Drosophila melanogaster: one gene and its partner. The protein of the gene in region 2 interacts with the protein of the main gene of each other region in a pairwise test. Each region holds a gene or a part of one and is shown on either strand. Other genes may lie near its edges.

Region 1 (6,458 bases), on a different chromosome or scaffold from region 2:
AACATGATACAAGAAAGCAAAAAGAACAGAAAAGAAGAATGCGAACGCGAATGTGCAAAAGTGCAGCAGCAATCAGAAGGACAGTTGAAAGTCGGTGACATATTCAAGTTATGTTGATAGGCACCCATAAACACACAACCGAACACCCCACACACAAACAAATACACGCCGCATGCTTTTTGCGAGCGAGGTGATGGAAAGCATGCTTGGCGAGCAGAGCACCAATCAAGAAGAAAGCATGCTTTTGGCTCCGTTTCCACTGGACATTTTCCACTTGCCGCTTCTTCCTCGCGTGTTTTTTGCCTTTGCGCGGTTGCCCATGCGCATCAGCGGCTACGTCATCAAGCAGTTAATGGTTACAGATGATTTACATTTATATATATTTACATATATATATATATATATATATATATATATATATATATATATCCATATACAATATAAACCGATCTAATGTTAAGCGTTTCACACACAGACACAACAATTTACAAGACGTTTATGCATTTCGATTCAATGAAAAATCAAGAATACGAATAATACAAATATTATAAACAATAATTACAATAATGGATTACAGCAAGCAAGCTCTTACTATTATTTTTAAAGTAAATGAGAACTTTTTAACAAATTACCGCAACCCGTATACATATGTATAGCATATAACTGAATACTTTTCTCTCCTCCAACGTTCCCACAATAAAAAAAAAAGGAAAAAAGCAAAATTACAAATTAGCGCGCTCTTCTAACATAAAAAAAGCAAATGCAAAAACCAAAGTAAATTTAATTAATATACACATATATGAGAAGAAACCAAAAACCAAAATATATAACATATTACGAGTAAGCAAATAATATATAAAAATACTTTTATACTATATACACGAAGCCTAAGAACTAAACAAAAGCGAAACAAAATTATATTAACGACTACCCCTCTCGCTCTAACCTCTCCATTCTCCTGTTGTCCTGCTCTTCTTTTCTCTCTCTCTCTCTCTCTCTCTCTCTCTATCTCTCTCCGTCTCTCTCGCACTGTGAAACTCCCGACTCGACTTCGACCTTGACCCTTTATCTTTTCTCTCTCTCTATCTCTATGTCTTTCTCTCTGTCGTTTCGGTGACCTCAGAAGAGGACCCAGCAAAAATGCGAAAACCATACCAAAAGCAAAGGAAAATAACACTTTTTATCGGTACATTTTCTACTACACCATATATGAATAGGAAATACAAGAGAAGAAGAGGAAGCGAATATAAAGTTAAAACCAAATTACCAACTACAGCAAACCACAATTTCAATATAAAAACGAATGGGTCCTATTTCGAACTTGACTTTCGGCACCGTTTTTGTAAAATCCCTTGAGTTTTGAAACCATTTCGAAAGCTGCCTCTTAGTATGATATGAAAAACAAAACAATTTTGATTTGAAAAGTCTTTCATAGCACGCGTCTAGGCAGTTTTTTAAGTGGTTTCAAAACCCAGAGAATGATATTTAAAGATAGCCAAGACGTGATAAAAAAATACCCATAAAAACTATACTCAAATTTCAGCCGAAAGTTAAAATTAGAATGGCCGATTACAATCAATTCCACACTCAGTTCGATATCGAATAAATCGCATATTGAACATAAATGTTTTTAGAGTTTTTTTTTTTAAATTTCCGTTAGACTGTTAGTTTATCGATTAGCTTGAACTACTATGTACAATCAAATATTTAAGTCGCTTTAAGTAAGCCATTTTGTTAACCAATTGTTTTTTTTTTTTATAATCGTATATACACTTATTAAATTTAACGAGAATAAAGAGAAAATGGGAAGATTTCTTGTTTTTCGTTTCCACTCATCTCATCCATTGCAATGCGAATGAAAACCTTTTCATCATATGTATGTATGTATGTAATTATATACGTTACCTTAATTTTTTTGATACATGTATTTTTCAACATCTACTTCCTGCCCTCGAATGCTTTAAAAACTTTACACGAAAAAGAAAACAATTTAATATATATTATAAACAAAAAAGAAATGGACAAAGAAAAGCAAAAACAAAAAAAAAACAAGAAAAACCAAGTGAAGAAAAAACCAAAAAACAATTAAAACTTTACCTTTTGGATAAATCAATTTAAATGCATATTTTATATATATTTAAACATTTATTTATATATAACATGTATGATAAATATAAGTTGGAAAAACTTTGTCAAAGCAAAAAGTTTATATACTTATATTAAAGAAAAACAAAAAACAAATGGATGGAAGATGGGAAAGGAAAACCAAAAACCAAATAAATAATATTAAAAATGCAACATAACAAATTAACAAACAAGAAAACATCACATCTAGATAAATCTCTTAAAAATTTTCAATTTTATTATTAAACCGAAACCAAAGTTAATGGATAAACAAATTTATAAACTGTATTGCAAGGGGCAGCTGGCTGGCAAAAATTACATAAAATTTGCGCCGTTGTGACAAAAATTGTACGCAATCCAAGGAAGATAACAAATTAATTTACAAGATAAAGATGATGATAATGGAGATGTAGACGATGGAGAATAAATGAAGGCAACAACAAAATGCAGACAACAAGTTTTAACCTTAAGTGAATGCAAAACAAAATGAAGAAACCCAATGAAAACAAAATGATTATCAATGTTATTAACATAATTAATATTAACAAAAACGAAAAAAAAAGAACAAGCAAAAAAAAAAAACAAAAACAACCAAAAAAGAAATACAAAAACATTAAAAAAAATATACAAGTACCTATCCTGAGAATAAAATGCGCGCACATTTATTATTTCCTCTAAAAGTTCGTTTGAGTCGATTTCGCCACCGGGGAATTTCAGAATAAGCATATACATATTTAATCCCGGGAAGCATATCCACCAGTAGAAGGCTGGAGAAGTGGTGGACTGAGTGAGTAATGTCCAGAATTTGCTCGAAAATTAAGGAAGAGGTAAGTGTAAGTGGGGCGAAACCGACAGGTGGCCAAGAATTTCAATAATGAGGTTTTTACCTATATTGATAAATTCAGCATCTGGGCTCTCATATTCTCTAATTTTAATTCATTTTATAATGTTTAGTTAACTACGTTTAAAGAATAATTAAGATGAACGGCTTAATTGATAGCTTAAGCTTTTTTAAAATAAAATGTTTTCCAGTTGACATTTTGAATATGTACCAAGTCCAATTGGATATAATTATCAAAGTTTAGCACCTTGTGGTACATTGCTGTGCGGAATTTGTTCAGATTTTAATTTTGCGCCACCATCTACATCTTTAAAGTGAATATATTGTTAGAAAGGAGATAAAAGTAAGCGTATTCATTTAGAATATTAAATATACAGAGAAAGATATAATTTTGCACGTACCTTACTCGACTACTTCCATGACTTCCATTCCAGGTGCGAGTCTCGACTAGAGTACACATTCCAGCGGCCGTGTAGTAAGTTTGAGCTTTTGAGCCACGGCCACACTGCAGAAAATTCCATTAAAAAAAGCGAGAAAAAAAACGTAGCGAAAGAGAGAAATTACGACGTCTGCAGGGCCGAAGCGAAAAAAGTAGCAAATACTGAAACAGAGTGACTATGATTGTTGTTAAGTGAAAGCAGCACTTTTGGAAAACGGCTAGGCCAGCGGCGCAGGCCACGGAAGAAAGCAGCGGAGTCAGCGTTCCAAAATCAAAGCAAAGCCAGCGGAAAGTAAAGGAAAGCGAATCAAAGCTGGAAGGCGATAAAGCGGCTCACCAGGCACTCCAACAACAACAGCAACAATAGCAACAACAGTAGGAGCAGCAGCAACAACCACACAGCAGCAGCAGCAGCAGCCAGGGAAAGTACCAGAGTGTGAGTGAGTGAGTGAGCGAGTGTGCGTGTGCGTGTGTGTGGGTAGTGGAAACAGAACTGAGCCGTGAGAGAGCGAGAGCGGGAGAGCGAGAGCGGGAGAGCGAGCTAGTGGAAGTGGGAGCGGGAGAGGAGCAGTCCGATTCCGAATCCCGGAATAGAAACCAGGAAAAAGGAAACGGGAAGCAGTAGCCGTAGAAGCAGAGCCAAAAACCGAAACAGAAACAGAAGTCTCAACCATGTCTTCGAATAACCAGAGCAGCAGCGTTGCCCAGGCGGCAACAAGTGCCCGCACCGTCAGTGCCGGATCGGCGGAAGCCACAGATGCCAATAGTACCGCCTCGAACAACAACAATAATAGCAGCAGTACCGCTGCAGCGGGCAACAACAGCGACAACAGCAGTCCCACCACTGGAACGGGCACAGGAGCGAGCACTGGAAAGCTGCACGGCGGCCACACGGCAGTAAACACCAAGGAACGGGTGGTGGACAGCGTTCCCTTCCCGCCCAGCCACAAGCTGACCTTGGCGGAGGTGTTCGACCAACGCACCGGCAAGCCCAACCATGAGCTGCTCAAGCAGCACTTCATTCTTGAGGGCAGAATCGAGGAGGCGCCCGCCCTGAAAATCATCCAGGACGGAGCCGCCCTGCTGCGTCAGGAGAAGACGATGATCGATATTGAGGCGCCGGTGACGGTGTGCGGTGATATCCACGGCCAGTTCTACGACCTGATGAAGCTGTTCGAAGTGGGCGGCTCGCCCGCGAGCACCAAGTATCTGTTCCTGGGCGACTACGTCGATCGGGGCTACTTCAGCATCGAGTGCGTCCTGTATTTGTGGTCGCTAAAGATCACCTATCCGCAGACGCTGTTCCTGCTGCGCGGCAACCACGAGTGCCGGCACTTAACCGAGTACTTCACCTTCAAGCAGGAGTGCAAGATCAAGTACTCGGAGCGCGTGTACGACGCCTGCATGGACGCATTCGACTGCCTGCCGCTGGCGGCGCTAATGAACCAGCAGTTCCTCTGCGTGCACGGCGGTCTGTCGCCGGAGATACACGAGCTGGAGGACATCCGGCGGCTCGACCGCTTCAAGGAGCCGCCCGCCTTTGGCCCCATGTGCGACCTGCTGTGGTCCGATCCCCTGGAGGACTTTGGCAACGAGAAGAACTCGGACTTCTACACGCACAACTCCGTGCGCGGATGCTCGTACTTCTACAGCTACGCCGCCTGCTGCGACTTCCTGCAGAACAACAACCTGCTGTCGATCATCCGGGCGCACGAGGCGCAGGACGCCGGCTACCGCATGTACCGCAAAAGCCAGACCACCGGCTTCCCCTCGCTGATCACCATCTTCTCGGCGCCCAACTATCTCGACGTGTACAACAACAAGGCGGCGGTGCTGAAGTACGAGAACAACGTGATGAACATCCGGCAATTCAACTGCTCGCCGCACCCGTACTGGCTGCCCAACTTCATGGACGTGTTCACCTGGTCGCTACCCTTCGTGGGCGAGAAGGTCACCGAGATGTTGGTGAACGTGCTGAACATCTGCTCCGACGACGAGCTCATGACCGAGGAGAGCGAGGAGCCGCTCTCCGACGACGAGGCGGCGCTGCGCAAGGAGGTGATACGCAACAAGATCCGTGCCATTGGCAAGATGGCGCGCGTCTTCTCCGTGCTGCGCGAGGAGTCCGAGTCGGTGCTGCAGCTGAAGGGCCTGACGCCCACGGGCGCCCTGCCCCTCGGCGCCCTCTCCGGCGGCAAGCAGTCGCTCAAGAACGCCATGCAGGGCTTCTCGCCCAACCACAAGATTACCTCGTTCGCGGAGGCCAAGGGCCTGGATGCCGTCAACGAACGGATGCCGCCGCGGCGGGATCAGCCGCCCACGCCCAGCGAGGATCCGAATCAGCACAGTCAGCAGGGCGGCAAAAATGGGGCTGGACATGGGTAAGCTGTGCCATCTAGTGCGGCTGCAGGACGAGGATGCAGATGCAGATGCGGCACGGTGGAGTCTGGCGAGGTCTGAATTGGTCTGAAGGAGGGGCTGAGTGGAGCGGAGCGGAGGCAACACAAAGAACACCAACCGAACGGAACCTTAATTAAACTTAATGTGGCAGAGCAACAACTTAAATACTAAAACCAATTCTAATTCTAAGTAATTGTCATAACCCCCTGCATTTCGTATGTGATCCCGCACCAGCTCCATGCCCATGTCTATGTCCATGGCCCAGAGCCTCCAAACCGACGGCACGGAGCAGAGATTTGTTTTTACGCAGGCGCGCGCACATTGGATATTAAAATTATGTGTGGCATACTTTGGCGCGCCGGCCCCCAAAACGGAAAATTCCCTTTCGCGATAGAAGAAAACCAACCCATAACGTAACCCATAACCTAGCTTAAGTTGTAATGTATAAACTATAAACTGAAATGGGCAAATTTTAAAATGGAAAATGAACAAAACGGAAAGAGCTAATTGAAATCCCTCCCCCTGCGATAATGCGATAATTTAAGATGAAAAACCCCAGCAGAATCCCCATAATCCCCAGAGGCAAGAAACACTAATCCAATTGAAGAGATATGGGAAACAAAATCCAGCGCTAATCTGTTCCAAACATTTAGC
Region 2 (6,458 bases):
CACACACCCCCGCTTCCGGTGGGTGTTTTTTTTACGCTGGAGGGGGGAGGGTGGTTTACTCACCTATGCGCTGGCCAACTGGAGTGGAGAAAACATTTCCCAAGGCGCCAACGTTGAAAAATGAAGCCATCGTGGAGAAGTTTCTTATTAATGCTCGCCGTTGGGTTGCAGTGCGGTTAAAATTGTTCTTTATTTACTTTTTGTTCACCTGGATGAAATGTTTATGCACTTGTCTACAGCAGAGTGACCATGGCTGGCCTCAGCGAAAAATACCCACAAAGAAATGCATTACAATAAGTGGGTAAATAGGAATAGGTTTTTTTCCAGGGCTGCAGCATTTTATTTCATTTTATTTAAAAGAATTATCCACAGTTTTTGAGATAATGACATAGTTATACCCGTTACTCGTAGAGTAAAAGGGTTTATTAGATTCGTTGAAAAGTATGTAACAGGCAGACCATATAAAGTATATATATTCTTGATCAGGATCAGTAGCCGAGTCGATCTGGCGATGTCCGCCTGTCTGTACGTTTGAACGTCGAGATCTCAGGAACTATTTAAGCTAGAATGTTTAGATTAAGCGTGCAGATTCCAGAGACATAGACGCAGCCCAAGATTGTTGACCCATGTTTCCATGACCACTCCAACGCCCACATTAGATTGTTCTTAGTTTTATTGTTCACCTTGCACCTTGCACCTTTTGGATTGTAATCACACCCACATCTTTAAACAATTTTAATTTTTTCTCATTTTATTCGCAATCCGACTAGCTGAGTAACGGGTACCTCATAGTCATGGTTGTTCACAGAGCGTGTTATGTATCTCAAAAACTTTGTAATTTCAAAGAGTTATTTCACAATTCATTCCACAGATTTCGTGGATAATGAATTTTCGATTGTTCAACCTTGCACCTGTCTCAAAAATGAGCTTTCCGTCAGCGGTCCTTCTGACGGTACCGCTGGCGGTCCCACTGATGGTTCCGCTGATGGTCCCGTTGATAGCCCCACGGACGGTCCCCTTGACGGTTCCGCTGACGGTCCCTTCGATGGTTCCGCTGCCGGTCGTGCTGACGGCCCCGTCGACGGTCCGGCTGATGGTCCCTTCGACGGTCCCGCTGAGGGTTCCGCTGAGGATCCCGCTGAGAGTCCCACTGAATGGCATTGGAACGAACTCGTTGATGACCAATCCAATGACGGTCGCGCTGACGGTCCCGCTGACGGTAGCGCTGACGGTCTGGCTGAGGGTCCCGCTGAAGGCTCCTCTAGCGTTCCCGCTGACTTTCCCGCTGACGTTCCCGCTGACGTTCCCGCTGACGTTCGCGCTGACGCTAACGCTCCTGCTGACGGGCACGTCGTCGGTCTCGCTGTCAGTGATCTCCATGTCGACGGCCCAGATTTCCGAGGACAGTTCATAGGATTCGTCCTCTGAAAGAAGAGAACGTAGGGTATATTAGTGAGTGAGGCTTTGAGACTTATATTTTGATAGTCCCGACTTGGTTAGTCGGCTAAACTTCTCTGTTCCAAGACCCATAATCTTAAGCCCATTTAGATCTAACTATAAGTTGCATGATTCTTACAGAATATTGTGTTCTGACTATAATAGTCATTATCCTATTATCTGTAATCTTTGCTCTCTGCCGCTCTTAAAGCAATCAATCAAATCAATCGGTGCATTATTCACAAATACGACGCAAAATTTGTTTTTGGTTAGATTAAGGAATATATGAGTTAGCGGTTCCAACAGGCTGATAGGACAAATCATATGCCTCGCACGTAGGGTATAAACTGAGAAGAAACGTGTTTTTCCCCGGAATTCTTTGCGACACATACAGTTTGTCAAGAAACTGTTTACACACTGTGAAATAAGTTGAATTTTTGACTTTAAAGCTAAAAATAAAGGGTTTTTTGCTTAATTAAACGCAATTTTTTTATAAAATATAATTAAACAATATTTATTTTACTTATAAATCAAAAAACAAATTAAAAATATTAAATATACAAGAAAATAAACAACAAATTCCAAGTTTACACACTTTTGAGACTGTCAAGAAACTCTTTACACATTTTGTTTTCCTACTTTGTTTTGTTCTTTTTCTTAGAACGAACTCGATTTTTCCGTTATTTTTGGCTTTACATTGCTTTTTACAACGCTTCTATTGAAATTTGTTGACTTTGCTTGTGAAATTTTGCTGATCAAACGTGCTTAAAGCGAATTATTAAATTTAATAAAATGCCTGGAAAGAGATTAACTTTTGAAGTTACCCAATTAATAAACTATAACCACCAGTTGGGAAAATCTTTTCCAGAATTAGTATAAATGTTTCCTGTATCCCGTAAGACCGTCTACAATGTTTTAAAAGGCTCGGAAAAAGAGGGCAGGCTTGAACCTAAGAGTGGTGGTGGGCGGAAAATTAAAATTAAAAAGCGTGTAGACCGCTTTATTATGCGAATAGTGATTGCGAACCCCCGAATCTCGGTCAGATCACTTGCTCTGGATATCAGGCAAGAATGTCACCTAACTGTGTCACACGAAACTGTGCGCCAAGTCATCCTACGCCATAGGTACTCTTCAAGAGTTGCAAGGAAAAACCCTTTGCTATCAGATGCCAATATTGAAAAGCGTCATTTATTCGCTATGAGCATGATGGATCATGCGGAAGAGTACTGGGATGACGTCATATTTTGTGACAAAACAAATATGATGCTCTTTTATAACGACGGGCCAAGCAGAGTATGGCGCAAACCGTTGAGTGCGCTAGAAAAACAAAATATCATTCCAACAATAAAATTTGGAAAAATGTCACTGATGGTTTGGGGCTGTATCACCAGCCGTGGAGTGGGAAAACTAGCCTTAATTGAGAGCACAATAAATGCCGTGCAATATCTAGGAATTAAAAAAAAAAATTTGAAGGCCAGTGCAGAAAAATTTGGTCTAGTTAGCAACAACAAGCCAAATTTTATGTTTTACCAGGACATGATAAGAAACATAAAGAGTGCAATGTACGCACCTGGCGCCCTTATAACTGTGGTAAAGTGATCGATACGCCCCCTCAGAGTCCTGATCTGAACCCCATTGAAAATTTGTGGACCTACTTAAAGAAGAAGGTGGCAAAAAGGGACCTAAAACACAACAACAGCTTATGACTGTAATAGTCGAAGAGTGTGAAAAGATCCCGTTTGAATATGACCTGCAAAAACTTGTCCAATCCATGAAAAAAAGGCTTCAACTTGTAGCTAAAGCCAATGGGGAACATACTACATACCAAAACTTTTAAAATTTTAATAAAATAATTAAAAAATTTAGGTTTAAACTTCGATTTAGTGTTTTGTGTAAAGAGTTTCTTGACAGTCTCAAAAGTGTGTACACTTGGAATTTGTTGTTTATTTTCTTGTATATTTAATATTTTTAATTTGTTTTTTGATTTATAAGTAAAATAAATATTGTTTAATTATATTTTATAAAAAAATTGCGTTTAATTAAGCAAAAAACCCTTTATTTTTAGCTTTAAAGTCAAAAATTCAACTTATTTTACAGTGTGTAAACAGTTTCTTGACAAACTGTATGTATGTACACTTGCCACACTTTTTGGTGTTGTAATTATATCTTTCGGATCAGAAACCTCGCAATTTACGTGGCATTATAATTAAATATATTATTATTATTAAAATGTAACGAACATTATCCAAAATAAGATACAAATTGAAAAAAATACGGAGAACTAGAGTTCACTAAAATTATTAAAGGTTCCATAGGTTTCATACCTATGGCCCTAATATTGGAGGAAATATTTCCCATTGCGGTGGAGTTATTTATTATAGTTATTTTCACTGGTTATTTTATGTTATGGTATTTTCACTGGTGGAAGTACGGAGACTGAATGATATATGTTCTGCAGCCATGCAATATATATAAGTACAATTTATTAAATTTTTTAATCTAACATTGCTGTGGTGAGTATGGGGGTTGGGTCATAGCGTTTAGTATAAGTATTTTAAGTTAAGTACTTTTCTTGAGTGACATGGACTGGTAACATTAACATATGGCACAATATTTTAATTATTTTTACAAATAGCATTTAATTTTAAACTAGCATTAATTTCTTTTTATATTTTTGGATACCCCGTCAGAAGGACGAAAGCACCGGAAGGACAGAAGGACAGGAGTCATCGCCGGGGATAAATTGGAGTTTTGCAGCATTTAAATATAGCCGACTGTCCCACCCACTGTCCCTCCCACTGAAATCTTAATGTTGCAGATCTATTGCAGAAATCTTATTGTTAATAAAGCGGTTCATGACATGGATTGGTTGTGGTATTGGTACTAAAGAGGGCGGATCTTAAACTCCTCCCACTGTTATGTTATTATCTCAAAAACAGTGGAAAATTTTTAATGATTTTTTAATTTAATGAAATATTCCTGAAATGTCCTTAAGGTCTGAGGAGTTAAGGTTTGAGGAGGTCTAGCGTGCAAAATGTTGGGGAGCCGATTATTCTATCGCATTATTTTTTTACTTTCTTGAGCCCTATAAGTAGTACATAGATAGTTAGATCTGCCATTTTGAAACATTTTTGCATTTTTATTCTTGGGAATTTACTCCCAAATAACGTTAGCGCAAATTTATTAATTAATGTATTTATTAAATAAATTTATTATACTGATAACATATTAATATAGCAAAAAAAAATACGTTTTTGAATATATGTGCATTCTTTTTAAACTGCTGCACACATTTATTATTTTTTTGGACTCTTACAATACTTTTTCAAAAATTTTAAATATAACTGCGACTTTGAGCGATACTTTCACTTTTCCCGTGACGCCAACCGATATGCACAGCGCTTGCAGCCCTGGCCAATTTTGATGTGTTTCAGCATTGTACCCTGACAACCCTGCTCTGTAAAACTAGGAAAAACAGAAAATTTTATTTTCAATTGTTAAATATCCAAACGTAAACAGCCGGAAAATGTCACGACAAGCCTCTCGTTTGGACGCCAAGAAAGTGGTAAGTTGGCCAAAGAAGAGAGAACAGCGCAAGATCGGTATCGTTAGTCATTTGGAGGCATAGATCTAGTTGTAAGGTTAGATTTGTGCCATAGTGCCTAAGAACGAATCTTTGACGTGCCATCCACCCTCAAAATCGGCTTCATTCACTTTTCCAGTAAGTGTGTGTGTTGGGGGCTTGAGGTTGAGACACGGACACACAGACAGGCACAAGCCGACGTGCAATCAGGCAATGGAAAACCATTTCAGCGCCACCAGTCGCCCCTCAGCCACGCCCAGAATGTGCACCACCGCCTCTGCCGTCGGTGCTGCCGCCAGCGCCGCCGCCGCCGCCGGCAACAACAATAACAACAGCAATAGCAGCAGCAACAACAACGCAACAACCGGCAACAATTTAAGTGTTAGCACTGCAGCCGGAGGAGCCACAAATGCCGCAGCAACGGCACAACCCATCCAAGTGATACCAATGCCCATGCTGCCCACCGGAGCGGCGCAAATCATAATTGGCCAGCAGCCACAGGGTCAGGCGACGGCGACGGGTCTGCAGCCACAATTGATACCGCTGCAGGCCAACCAGATTATGCTGCAGGCTGCGCAGCAGCAGCCACAGATGCAGGTGATGCAGCTGCCCGATGGCCAGACTATATTCTATCAGACGCCCACCATTGCCGCCTTGGATCCGAATGCAGCGGCCAACGCCGCAGCTGCCATGGCAGCCCAGCCGACGCCGCACTACCTCAATATCAATGGGCAGCTGGTGCAGATCAATCCAGCACCGAGCGCTAATCAGGCGGCACCCACAGCTGGGCAACAGATTATAATGGTGCCGCAGACAGCGATGGCAGCGGTGAATGCAGCGGCCGCCAATGCCGGAGTAGGCGCCGGAGTGGGCACAGTGGTTACCCAACAACAACAGCAGCAGCATCAACAAGTACAATCCCAGACCCAAAACCAGCAGCAGCAGCAACAGCAGCAGACGGTGGCGGCGGTGGCTGCCAGTGCTGCAGTCAATAATATAAGCGCCGATGTCAGCACAAGTACAACTGGAACGAATACGAACAGCGAGGACGAGAGCTCCAAGGGCGAGGCGGACGAGGAGCCGCTCTATGTGAATGCCAAGCAGTACAAACGTATTCTCATTCGGCGGCAGGCCAGGGCCAAGCTAGAGTCGCGCATACCCAAGGAACGGTGCAAGTATCTGCACGAATCTCGTCATCGCCACGCCATGAATCGGGCTCGTGGCGAGGGTGGTCGCTTCCATTCGGCACAGGAGAAGGGCGACCAAGATTCGTCCGGCCCGGAAGGCGGCAGCATGCCAATGGCGTCCAGTGGCGGCGTCACCCTCAGCCGTGGCACGGCACGTGCTCCGCCCAAACTGATCGCGCCACATCAAACGCCCAGCATTACCATAACGGCGATCAAATCGGAATAGTCGCCTCCTAGCTGTAGGATACAAA

What was found. Proteins that work in one complex are often made in the same cells at the same time.
Region 1: the proteins of Nf-YA (region 2) and Pp2B-14D interact in a two-hybrid assay, tested with the Drosophila melanogaster proteins (2 studies listed by BioGRID).

The regions. Positions count from the first base shown.
Region 1 is NC_004354.4:16,557,026-16,563,483, reverse strand, and holds the start of Pp2B-14D (protein phosphatase 2B at 14D), read left to right. Parts: upstream 1-3,467; 5' UTR 3,468-4,076; coding exon 4,077-5,789; 3' UTR 5,790-6,458. UniProt on the Drosophila melanogaster protein: Calcium-dependent, calmodulin-stimulated protein phosphatase. This subunit may have a role in the calmodulin activation of calcineurin.
Region 2 is NT_037436.4:9,440,668-9,447,125, reverse strand, and holds the start of Nf-YA (nuclear factor Y-box A), read left to right. Parts: upstream 1-4,858; 5' UTR 4,859-4,963; coding exon of another isoform or gene 4,964-5,002; intron 5,003-5,159; 5' UTR 5,160-5,233; coding exon 5,234-6,433; 3' UTR 6,434-6,458. Other genes in the region: CG3529 (uncharacterized protein), read right to left, coding at 64-130; Srg3 (Sting-regulated gene 3), read right to left, coding at 841-1,424, 3,762-3,795; Bet3 (blocked early in transport 3), read left to right, coding at 4,964-5,002.